Linked DNA regions of Sus scrofa. The protein of the gene in region 1 purifies or fractionates together with the protein of each later gene. This does not show direct contact. Links are inferred from orthologs where the notes say so. Each region holds a gene or a part of one and is shown in the gene's direction. Other genes may lie near its edges.

Region 1 (4,404 bases):
AATTAGCTGCCTGGACCTGGAATATTAGTAAACCCTAATTCTCGGCGGGGAGGGGGCGCGGGAAGAACCCTCCCTTGAAGGGGGGTTGGTATTGCGTGCGCCCTTGCGAAGGGGAGGGGGCTTTTTAATAAGTTTTCTTTGAGCCTTTAACCTTAGGGTGTATGGTGGTTTGATGACACCAAACTATACTGAGGGGAGTAAATGAACATTTTTCTTAATGGGGGTCAGGTAGTGTAAAAACTAAAAAAAATAAAAAGTGAAGTATGCGTAAAATGTTCTTTCAATTTAAAAATAAGCACCGAAGAAGAGCCTGAATCTTTAACTTTAAAAAACGTCATATATTCTTTGATATGTCTTAAAAGTTTGGAATAATATTGGGGACTCTTGTATAACCACGAAGATACATAGGTTTTGTTTAAAATCATCAGATCAATACAGCCATTTCTGTAACCTGTAATTGTTCTGCTCTTTGCCAGCCCCTGCCATCCCCGTCAGGCTCACGAATGCAGCCCCAGGGCAAATTCTAAAGGTGAAGAGAGGTCCACACCCCCAACAAAACCAATTAGGAAGCTTCCGGTGGTCTCGTCCCAGGCGGAGAGGGGACTAGTAGTTCCAGGGATTTAACTTCATTTTTAATTTTTAAAAATGAGGCAGGACAGAGACCAGTATTTTGCAGCCTTCCTTTCAGGGTGTTTTTCTAGCTGTTAAATTGCCAGGACAGGGCAAGGATGGGGGGATTGGGGAACCCCCGCAAGAAAGGACTGGCCAAGGTGGGAAGACAGCCTGCAGATCCCCCAGGCGCGGAGGACAGGATGAAGGAAACGCTGGCCACCATCTTGGGCTGCTGCTGGAATTTTCGGGCATTTATTTTATTTTATTTTTGAGCGAGCGCATGCTAGGCTGAAATATGCTTAACCATTAGGGTTCCTCCCTCGGGCATTGCAACGACCCCCCTGTGTGCCGGAATGAAGCCTCCACAAGGGTTGCCGGCTCTGCGTCCCTGAATGTTAAATGGTTCCTGAAATTTACACGTGTTGATGAAAATGAAAGAAGACACAGAAGCTAAGATTCCTAGGCTGCCTCTCCGCCCGTGGGTGCCCTCGTGGCGTTTTCGGAAATGCACCCATTCTCCTGGCTCGGGTAGAGGGTGTCACCGAACCCCAGAGTCCCCCTTCCATGCGGTCTTGCCCGGCTGCGTGTGGCCTGCCCGCCCTCCTAGTCGTCCCCCTCTGCAGAGCCACCTATACACAACCCCCCAAATCCTAAGGGGCCCACTCGGGGTGGACAGGACCCCCCTGCACCCCTCTTCCCCGCGGGGCGATTTGCGTTTCTATGAAAACCAAGTTTCGGGGGCAACTCCGCTTAGGGCAGGCGCGGCGCCTCCGGGATGGCTTTTGGGCTCTGCCCCTCGCCGCTCCCCGGCGCTCGGCGCCCGCGCCCCCTCCCCCTGAGCCCGCCCCCCCTCCCTCCCGCTCCCATTCTCTGCCCGGCTTTGATCTCTGCTTAACAACAGTAACGTCACACGGACTACAGGGGAGTTCTGTTGGAAGTTGCAAAGTCCTAGAGCCTCCAGAGGGCTGTCGGCGCAGTAGCAGCGAGCAGCAGCGTCCGCGCGCTCCGGCGAGGGGCAGAAGAGCTCGAGGGAGCACGGGGGCAGCAGGAGCTAAAGCCGAACGCGGACCCAGCCCGGGACCCACCGCCGCCCCAAGCCGCCTAGCAGAGCCCCAGCCATGGCACACCAGCTCCTGTGCTGCGAGATGGAGACCATCCGCCGGGCGTACCCCGATGCCAACCTCCTCAACGATCGGGTGCTGCGGGCCATGCTCAAGGCGGAGGAGACCTGCTCGCCCTCCGTGTCCTACTTCAAGTGCGTGCAGAAGGAAATCCTGCCTTCCATGCGGAAGATCGTGGCCACCTGGATGCTGGAGGTGCGGGGCTTCGGGCGGCTCTCTTAGCACTTTTCTGCGACTTGTTGCGCAAACCCACATTTCTTTGCCACTCATCTCCCTCCCTTCTCTCTCACCCCAACTTTGAAGTTTGCTGGAGTGTTGCTAGGAATCGTAATTCCAAAATATATAGATATTGTGGGTATTTTTTGAACGAGGAAGAAGTGGGGGTGGGGTCATTAGAAATTCCCTTCGTGGGGGGGGGGGTCGAAGACGTGTACCTTCGGGCAAAGCCACTGTCAAGGGCACCCCAGTTGGCTTCAGGGTGTGGGCCCGCAGGCTGGGCGCCCTTTGTAGCCCCCGCCTGGACCGCCACCGCGCAGCCCCCGCCTGCGCCCGAGCCCCGCTGCGCCTCCTCTCCCCGCCGCGCGGCCGCTGAATCTCCAGCTCCAGGGGGAGGGGGCATAGATTTGATTTTTAAATTAATATCCATGGACACGTATGCAAGGGCCACTCGTGCCAGTATTATGCGCCATCTTTGTTCTTTTATTGCAAAGCAAAAGTGTTTATTAATAATTGGGGGCAGGGTGGGGGCGGGGAGCGACCGGCGAGGCGCTTGGGGCCGCCGCGAGGGGCCGCGCGGCCACCGGGAACCGGCGGGAGGGGCGCGGGGACAGAACTCGGGCAGTTGTGCGGGGACCCCACTCGGGAAAGAGGGCCCCTTTGTTAAAGCAGCGAGTCCCGGGGCGCCCCGCAAGGCCAGCTTGGGCCGGAGAGCACGCCGGGCTGCAAGGTCGTGTGGCCCCCAAGACGCTGGGGGCTGACTCTCATCTGCAGGGGTCTCAACTTGGGGGACCTGTGTGGAGGGAGCCGGGGGCCCGGGGCACGTTTTCAGGCCTTCAGTGGGCTCCTACGGGCACCGCAAGTATTTTAAAATAATTTCTGAAAGTGCGGCGTGGTGCCCTTGCGAGAGGGAAACGGCGCCCGCGCCCAGGGGGAGGGGGGCTCCGAGTTCGAATTCCTGGGGCTCTCCCCTGAGCCTGCAGCGAGCTCTCGACCCCCGGCCCGGGTAAAGGACCGCCCGAGGGTCATTTTCAGGGGTTTTTTATGTACCCAGTTATTTTTTTTATATTTTTAAATATTTTTTGAAAAGATGACGTCTGGGGAAATGCGGCTCGGCGGCCTGGGACGCCACCTTTGTGTCTCGCAGGCGCTGCGAGCGCGGCGCCCAGCCCCACGGCCCGCCCCACGGCCCTGCACCCCATTTGGTGCCCACCCCAAGCTTGGAGGGTCCCGAGGCACCCACGCGGGCCGGGGTCTCGGGGACCCGCAGCCCGCGAGCGGCACACGCCGCCCAGCAGTGCCCGCTCCCGCTCCACTGTGCCAGCCTCCCGGGGACTTTCCCTTTCAGTTTCGTGGTGGGTGGGCATTAGGGACTCTCGGGGGAGGGGGCGCGTCGGCAGAAGCTCCTGCCGCCCCCTGCCCCGACCCTCCGCACGCTCGGGTACCCGAAGCCAACCCTGGCGGGAGCGGGGCGGGGGACGCCAAGTCTCCGCAGAGGGGGCCGGGCGCTCCCGGCGGCGGCGGCGGTCACGGCCCCCGGTGCCCCTGCAGGTCTGCGAGGAGCAGAAGTGCGAGGAGGAGGTCTTCCCGCTGGCCATGAACTACCTGGACCGCTTCCTGTCCCTGGAGCCCGTGAAAAAGAGCCGCCTGCAGCTGCTGGGAGCCACCTGCATGTTCGTGGCCTCGAAGATGAAGGAGACCATCCCCCTGACGGCCGAGAAGTTGTGCATCTACACCGACAACTCCATCCGGCCGGACGAGCTGCTGGTAACCCTGGGACCCCCACCGCCCCGGGACCCTCCGTTAGCCGCGGGACCCCGGGGGTGGGGGAGGTGCGGGGAGCAGGCAGTCCCGGCGGGCCGCTGACACACTCTCGGCCCCCGGAGAGGACGGCCACGCTGGTGGGGCCCCTCTCGCGGAGCGGGCGGGAGCGGGTGAGACCCTCGCCGCCCCGCATCCTGGCTGCCCCGCCTCACCCTTTCTGTCCGACTCCCCCCGCGTCTGCTTCCCTAAGGCCGCGAAAAGTGGGCGACGCGCGCCCTCTAGCGGCAGCCTCGCGGAGCCTGCGCCAACGTCCCGGGCTCGCGTTCCAGGTGTGGGCGGTCTTCTGGTCCCCACTCGAGGAAGGGTCGGCTTAATTAAACGCAGGAGCCTTTGCCGGCGACACCCTTCCTGTATAGATGTGGGGTCGCGCTTTGTCCCTCCAGGTCCCGGACCCTCCAACGCCCCCCAGTCCTTTCTCCCCGCCCCCTGTCCCACTGGGATCCATGCCTGCGCCTCTCTTTATGCCCGGTCCCCCCATTTCCCCAGCAAATGGAGCTGCTCCTGGTGAACAAACTCAAGTGGAACCTGGCGGCCATGACCCCGCACGACTTCATCGAGCACTTCCTCTCCAAAATGCCGGTGGCCGAGGAGAACAAACAGATCATCCGCAAACACGCGCAGACCTTCGTCG
Region 2 (3,644 bases), on another chromosome or scaffold:
TGTGGTGTAGGCCAGTGGCTACAGCTCCGATTAGACCCCAGCCTGGGAACCTCCATATGCCACTGGAGCAGCCCTAGAAAAGGCAAAAAGACAAAAAAAAAAATTATATATATATATATATATATATACACACACACTCCTCTCGCCCTCTTACATCTTGCTGTCTGAGATGGCCTAGACTCTCTGTGAAGTGTGTTTCTCCCAGCGCCGCTCTCTCTTGAGATGGCCTACACTTTGTCTCTAAATAAATCTACTTCTTACCTATCAAAAAATAAAAACATAAGAAAAATATATATTAATCACGACCCACTAAACCAATTTTAAGGCCTACTAGTAAGTTTGTGGTAGCTTCATTTTGTACCACCTTCATTTTGGAAAACAGTTTTTTAAGGAGATCGTGCTGTGATGCAGTAGATAAGAATCTAGATTCCGAAGTTTCCGTCATGGCTTAGCAGTAACAAACTCGATAGTTTCCATGAGGACGTGGGTTAGATCCCTGGCCTCGCTCAGTGGGTTAAGGGTCTGGTGTTGCCATGAGCTGCAGTATAGGTCGAAGACTCAGCTTGGATCCCATGTTTCTGTGGCTGTGGTGTAGGCCAGCAGCTGTAGCTCTGATTCAGCCACTAGCCTGGGAACTTTTGTATGCCATAGGTGTGGCCCTTGAAAGACCAAAAAAAAAAAAAAAAACTGAAAAAAGAATCCGTCTTTGGCCTAGGAACTTCCGTATGTCATGGTTAAGGCCGAAAAAGAAAACAAGCAAACAGAATAGTTTGTTTTTGTTTGTTTTAATTTTTTATGGCCACTTCCACGGCATATGGAAATTCCTGGGCTAGGAAACTTCGTCCTGGCAGCTGTAGTAATGCAGGATTCTTTAACCCACTGCGCCAGGCTGGGGATTGAATCCACGCCTCTGCAGTGACCTGAGCCACTATAGTCACATTTAACCCACTGTGCCTCAGTAGGAACTTCAAAACCAGTTTTTTGAGTAGCCAGTATCATGTTTATTCCCTGTTGGAATAGGGCAGGGGGAGAGGACTGGCTGGTGAATTGTACAGTGTAGCTGAAGAGGCAGGTCTTCCTCTTACTGGGCTCTCTTGGCTTCTGGGGGGAAGGGGGAGATTGGCTTGGTAACAGTCTTGTGATCTTTCTTCCCACGCCCAGCAAGTGCTGTGAAACTTAATAAGCAGCAGACGGACATCGCTGTGAACTGGGCTGGGGGCCTACACCATGCAAAGAAGTCCGAGGCATCTGGCTTCTGTTACGTCAATGATATCGTCTTGGCCATCCTGGAACTGCTAAAGTATGCCTGCCTGGCCTTGTCTCTTGGAGGAGCACCTTAGGCCAGGTTCCCACTTCCCTCTCCCCTGGGCTTGCCTCCCTAGTTTGCTTTTCCTAGCGGTGTGCTGGCTAGGATGTGTTCGGTGAGTGTCTCTGGCCATCTTCTTCTTGACGGGGTCTTGATTTGATCTGAGCCCACGGCAAGATAGGGGCAGGCGCTGCTCAGATCCTGCCTCCAGAGTGTCCCTGTGTGGCCGGAGTTGACCCTGGCTGTAGAGTAGGAAGATTGGACTTGGTCGCCTTGGTCAGGCCTCTGGAGACACCCTGCCGCTCTTCCACCTTCCTTCAGCCAGTTTCTACGTCTCTGGTGCTTAGAGATACCTGAGGGAGGCAGCCAGCCCGGTAAGCTGGGACCTGGCGCCCTTGGCGCGTCCCACTCCCAAGGAGCCCCCAGACCCCCTGACCCCCTTCTGATCCTAGGTATCACCAGAGGGTGCTGTATATTGACATTGATATTCACCACGGCGATGGCGTGGAAGAGGCCTTCTATACCACAGACCGAGTCATGACTGTGTCCTTTCATAAATATGGAGAGTACTTCCCAGGAACTGGGGACCTACGGGTGAGAACTCCCTTTAGGGGCCAACCAGCTCACCCTCAGCTGCCAGCTCTAAGTCTCCTATCTCATGTCACCAAAAACCACTTCCTGCCTCTTCTGCCGTTCAGAACATCACAACCTAGCTTGGGACACCTGCTATGATCTCTTTCCCTTTCTTATTCTGGAGGAAAGGAATGATGGTACATGAAGCTTTGGGAGGGATGGGGGTCTCCTGACTCATTGCACTTCCTCCTGGCCCCAGCCGGGTTGCATTACACTATTCACATATCCAGAAAGCTTGAATTCCAGGCTAAGAAACCTCAGGTTCTATCCAATGAGCTAGGAATTGGGACCTTTATGGACCATCTCAGGGGTTCTTAACATTCCCTTTGATCATCTGACTGAAAGCTCTGTACTGTCTCCCTGGGAAAGTACATGAAATTTTACATCTGATGGCAGATAGTTTATAGCACCTCCCCTTAGTGAAACCTATCCATGGACCTCTGGATAAGAATCCTTCAAAGCTGATTCATTTAACTGTTCTGCTTCTATTAGCATGAATACAATGAAACCAGCCACTTTGCAATACCAGTAGCCCTTGGGTGAAAAAGTGGCACTAATTCAGTTGTTTGCAATGGCAGGCCTTTGAATAATTGAGCATTTACAGTTTTGAAGAATTCTTCCCTTTCTGCTTTCCTTCTCGAGAGAATGGGAGGTAGAGGAGTGAGCATGCAAGCTCCCTGGCAAGGGAAGGGTTGTTGTGGGATGAGTGTTATTTTTTGTGGTCCAGCCCCCAGCCACCTTTAATCCAGTCCAAAGGGAGAGGTCTTGTGCTGTGGGGTAGGATATTCAAATCTCTGGCCCATAAATGGCCTCAGTGGTGTGTCCAGAGATGTGAGCTAGACTTGCCCTTGAGGGGAATGGTACTGACCTGCTCTGTCCCTGGCCCACCTCATGGGCCCAGCGTCTCTCTCTTAGAACCACTGCCTCCTTCCTTAGCCTTCCAGCCCCCATCCTTGAACTTCCTTCTAGCTTCATCTTTGAGTTTTACTTTAACTTTACTGTCCCTCTTGATTAGGATATTGGGGCTGGCAAAGGCAAGTATTATGCTGTTAACTACCCGCTCCGAGATGGGATTGATGACGAGTCCTATGAGGCCATTTTCAAGCCGGTAAGTGGCTTACCCAACCACCCTGGGCTATAGATGGGACTGATCTAAGGGAGGGGTAGCAACCCCCTAACATACTTCAGAAATCTCTCCCTGCTGAGAGGCTGGTTGGAAGTGAGATGTGTTTCAGCCCTTGTCTGCATGCTGCACGGCCAGTCAGGGGAACGGAATTCATCCAAATAGTTATCGATGCCGTCTCTGGAGCAGGCTCTCTGTTGGATCCAGGAATATTTAAGACAAGATCTATGCCCATGAAGACCTCACAGTCTATGGTATGGGAGGCAGGCACATCCCCAGAAGCATGTAGTCAGTGCTGTTTTTGAGGGATGAACAGAGGAGTGAGAGAGAAACTGCTTCCTGAGCTGAGGAAAGGGTATTCACAGGGGTGGTGATGTTTGAGTGGACATTGAGAAATGAGTTGCCCAGGTGAAGGAGGGTGGGGCCTGGAGGGGAAGGGTGGCATTCAGCAGAGGGAAGCACACCAGCAGCAGCACAGTGGTGCCAGTATGTAGTATGTGGGCCAGCATGACGTGGGGGATGAATGCTGAAGTATGTGGTAGGAAATATTTGTTGGGGTATTTCAAAGGGAAAGGGAACCTT
Region 3 (3,644 bases), on another chromosome or scaffold:
TGGGACTGATCATTGGTCCACCAGCCCGTGGTGCCCAGCTGACTCCTTTCTCACGTCAAACACCTGAGTGTCTTCCAAGAGCCTGGGAGGATTTCCTTCCTCGCCAAGGCTCCTTCCCAGTGCTGCTGCAGGAACATTTCTTCTTCTTTCATCTGCCATCCCTCCTCTTCTCACTCCCACCTATCATTTCGTCTTTGAAATACTGTCTGCTGCTAAATGCCTTAACAGCTTGGCTTCTCTGGAGATCCCAGAAGCAGAATTCTCTTGGCTATTCCAAAGTTCCCATATACTCAGATTTCCCATGAGAAGGATTTAAGGTTGGGGCAGGATTGCTCTCCTCTTAAGTGATAATAGGTATAAACATCTATGCATTTTGACCTTTCTTTATACTCCTGTTTCTGTTCCAGAGATTAGCTTTTTTCGAGAATAACAGCAATTTGTTCTTGCTGATTTTTTTTTTTTTTTTTTGGTCTTTTGCAACCTGTGGATCTTCCTGTGCACTCCCTCCCCACCCCCCTTTAGGAACACCAAGCATTTATTTTGTTTGAATACTACTTTGACTTCCTAAATGTCCCTTCTTTCTTATACTCAGCAGATATATATTAAGCATCTATAATGTTTAAGACACTTGGTTGAATGTAGAATAAATACCCCAAGAGGGGAAGTGAGAGGATGGGAAGAACAGATTTAGCATGGAAGGTCTTAAGGTCAACTGAACGGTTTGCATTCTGTAAACAGAGGGAAGCATCAAAGGCTTTTTGGTTTTTTTTTTTGCCTTTTCTAGTGCTGCTTCCGCGGCATATGGAGGTTCTCAGGCTAGGGGTCAATCGAAGCTGTAGCATCTGGCCTATACCACAGCCACAGCAACTCGGGATCCAAGCCGCATCTGCAACCTACAGCACAGCTCACGGCAACGCCAGATCCTGAACCCCACTGAGCAAGGCCAGGGATCAAACCCACAACCTCACAGTTCCTAGTTGGATTCGTTAACCACTGAGCCATGACGGGAACTCCCAGCATCAAAGGCTTTTGAGTAGGAGAAGGACATGCTCTGAGCTAGGCTTACAAAGATGCCTTGGTCATTGATACACATGCTCAGCTGAAAGGAAGAAAGATTGGAGGTGAGGTGAGAAGTATTAGAAGGAAGGTTTAACTTTTTTATTACTGGCTGTATGAAAATGTAAAGGATGCTTCTGGAGTTCCCGTCATGGCTCAGTGGTTAATGAACCCGACTAGTAACCATGAGGTTGCTGGTTCGATCCCTGGCCTTGCTCAGTGAGTTAAGGATCTGGCGTTGCCATGAGCATGGTGTAGGTTGCAGGCACAGCTCAGATCTGCATTGCTGTGGCTGTGGTGTAGGCCGGTGGCTACAGCTCCGATTTGACCCCTAGCCTGGGAACCTCCATATGCCGTGGGTGCGGCCCTCAAAGGCCAAAAATATAAAATAAAATTTAAAAAAAATATAAAGGATGCTTCTAATTCTAGGTCATTGATCCGCTCATTGATCTGCAGTGGGATTTTGTTGAAATTCAAAATTAAATATTCCCTTTCCTGAGACTTTGTACTATGTGTCCCAACCTAGAGTAAATACAGATCAGAGAGGTGAATTTCTAAGCACACAGATCTGGGTTAAGAAAAAAGAATCATTACCCGAAAGTATTTATTTTGGGAAAACAGGCTCCCTTTTTTGTCAACCAGAATCTCACTGTTGACAGAACTGTATTTCCCCTAATGTGATATACCTCCTTGGAGGACTGGGTTACATGTGACAGAGGGAAATGGTAACGTAGAGAAAATGACCATTTCCTCTGTCTGCACCCAACACATGACCCTGTCTAAAATACTGTTGTCAGGAGTTCCTGTTGTGGCTCAGCGGAAACGAATCTGACTGGCAGCCATGAGGACACAGGTTCGATCCCTGGCCTCTCTCAGTGGGCTAAGGATCCAGCGTTTCCATGAGCTGTAGTGTAGGTCACAGACACAGCTCGGATCCCGAGTTGCTGTGACTATGGCTTAGGCCGGCAGCTATAGTTCCCATTCAACCCCTAGCCTGGGAACCTCCATATTCTGTGGGTACAGCCCTAAAAAAATAAAATAAAATACTGTTGTCAAATCCCTGTTAGGTTTCATTGCATATAATGGACCTGTTGCGTATTCACCAGTATTTAAAAGTTAACAACTCTGCTCACATCTTTTGAGAGGGCAGGCCTCGTTCAAATAAAGGTCAAGTCCGCATCCTCAAGTTGCACGCACCTTTTGGTGACTCCAGCATTTACTTTTACCATCACTAGCTTGCTGGCTTCTCCCCACAACACAGTGACACTTGTCAGTATAAATCAAGACTGGAGAAAGGGGAGTTCCCGCTGTGGCACAGTGGGTTAAGAATCCGACTGCTGTGACTCAGGTCACTGCAGAGCACCAGTTCATCCCCCCACTGGGTGCAGTGGATTAAAGGATCAGGTGTTGCTGCACCTGTGACATAGGTCTCAGCGGCAGCTCAGGAGTGCTGCTGGTACAGTCATTAAAAAAAAAAAAAAAAAAAGAATGGAGAGGAAGGAAATGTAGTTGGATTTTAAATAAAACTTTGAGTTTTTAGGTGGTTAGAAATTCAACAAAAATGCGCTTACGTGTTTCCTAAGGCCCAAGCTATGGCCCATGCTTGTGAGTTGATTCACCTTTGCTATTTTCCCAAATCATTGATTGCAAGTTGTGTCTTCAGTTTGCCTTTTATAAGATATGATACAGATTGTAAAAACGAGGTCATGTAACTCTAGTGCAACACAGTTACCATAGATACAGCTACTCTGAAAGTCTCTCTTCCTTTCCAGGGAACTTGGAGAAATTCCCACACTAAAAACACTACAAGTCTTTGGAATCGTGCCAGACGGTACCCTTCAACTGTTAAAAGAAGCCCTTCCTCATCTACAGATTAATTGTTCCCATTTTACCACCATTGCCAGGCCAACCATCGGCAACAAAAAGAACCAGGAGATATGGGGCATCAAATGCCGACTGACACTGCAGAAGCCCAGTTGTCTATGAAGTATCTGTTGCAGGATGGTGTCTCCTCTTTTCTTTGAACAGGGAAAGTAGGCAGGAAGCCCAGTTGCTGGAGAACTCAGCTATTTTTATTCTTGGTTTTCCCTTGCCTTCCTTCTCCAAGTATATTAGCGAACCATTCGAGAGAGAAAAAGACAAAGTGTTGCTTTGAAAAAATGACTCTGAAAGCTTTTATCACTGCTCTACCCCTAAGAGTCTTAAGTTGTAAGAGTCTAAGTTGTAGACCTTTTAAAATTTTAGGAGAGTGAGCCTATCATTTCAAGAGAGCTTAAAGAGCAAAATTTGAGCCACCTCTTCCAAGTGCCCTTCTTATTAAATTTATTTAGAATCATGCTTAAAAATCATCACCGGCGAATTATTTTCATAGCCTGTTTGGCAACTGAACGTTCTTCTATTTAATTTTTCAGTACTGCTTTGTAAGATGTAGATTGCAAGAATAATAAGCTATTGGTATTGTAAGCTGAACAGAATGAGAATCATAGAGTAGATTTGAGGCAATCTCTTCCGAGGATAGAAAGAAAATATACATTTCAACGTTGCCTTGAGATTTGACAATGGATTTGTGGAAACAAATAGCCCTGAAT

Evidence for each region. Proteins that work in one complex are often made in the same cells at the same time.
Region 2: the proteins of CCND1 (region 1) and HDAC1 purify together in Homo sapiens (affinity purification with western blotting; 3 studies listed by BioGRID, with this or other methods). This does not show direct contact. The link is inferred for Sus scrofa from reciprocal best matches to the Homo sapiens genes CCND1 and HDAC1.
Region 3: the proteins of CCND1 (region 1) and SKP2 purify together in Homo sapiens (affinity purification with western blotting; 3 studies listed by BioGRID, with this or other methods). This does not show direct contact. The link is inferred for Sus scrofa from reciprocal best matches to the Homo sapiens genes CCND1 and SKP2.

Annotation. Positions count from the first base shown.
Region 1 is NC_010444.4:3,630,460-3,634,863, reverse strand, and holds the start of CCND1 (G1/S-specific cyclin-D1), read left to right. Parts: upstream 1-1,483; 5' UTR 1,484-1,730; coding exon 1,731-1,928; intron 1,929-3,500; coding exon 3,501-3,716; intron 3,717-4,259; coding exon 4,260-4,404. UniProt on the Homo sapiens protein: Regulatory component of the cyclin D1-CDK4 (DC) complex that phosphorylates and inhibits members of the retinoblastoma (RB) protein family including RB1 and regulates the cell-cycle during G(1)/S transition.
Region 2 is NC_010448.4:88,777,106-88,780,749, forward strand, and holds part of HDAC1 (histone deacetylase 1), read left to right. Parts: intron 1-1,161; coding exon 1,162-1,300; intron 1,301-1,758; coding exon 1,759-1,900; intron 1,901-2,954; coding exon 2,955-3,047; intron 3,048-3,644. UniProt on the Homo sapiens protein: Histone deacetylase that catalyzes the deacetylation of lysine residues on the N-terminal part of the core histones (H2A, H2B, H3 and H4).
Region 3 is NC_010458.4:21,497,765-21,501,408, forward strand, and holds the end of SKP2 (S-phase kinase-associated protein 2), read left to right. Parts: intron 1-2,828; coding exon 2,829-3,042; 3' UTR 3,043-3,161; downstream 3,162-3,644. UniProt on the Homo sapiens protein: Substrate recognition component of a SCF (SKP1-CUL1-F-box protein) E3 ubiquitin-protein ligase complex which mediates the ubiquitination and subsequent proteasomal degradation of target proteins involved in cell cycle progression, signal transduction and transcription.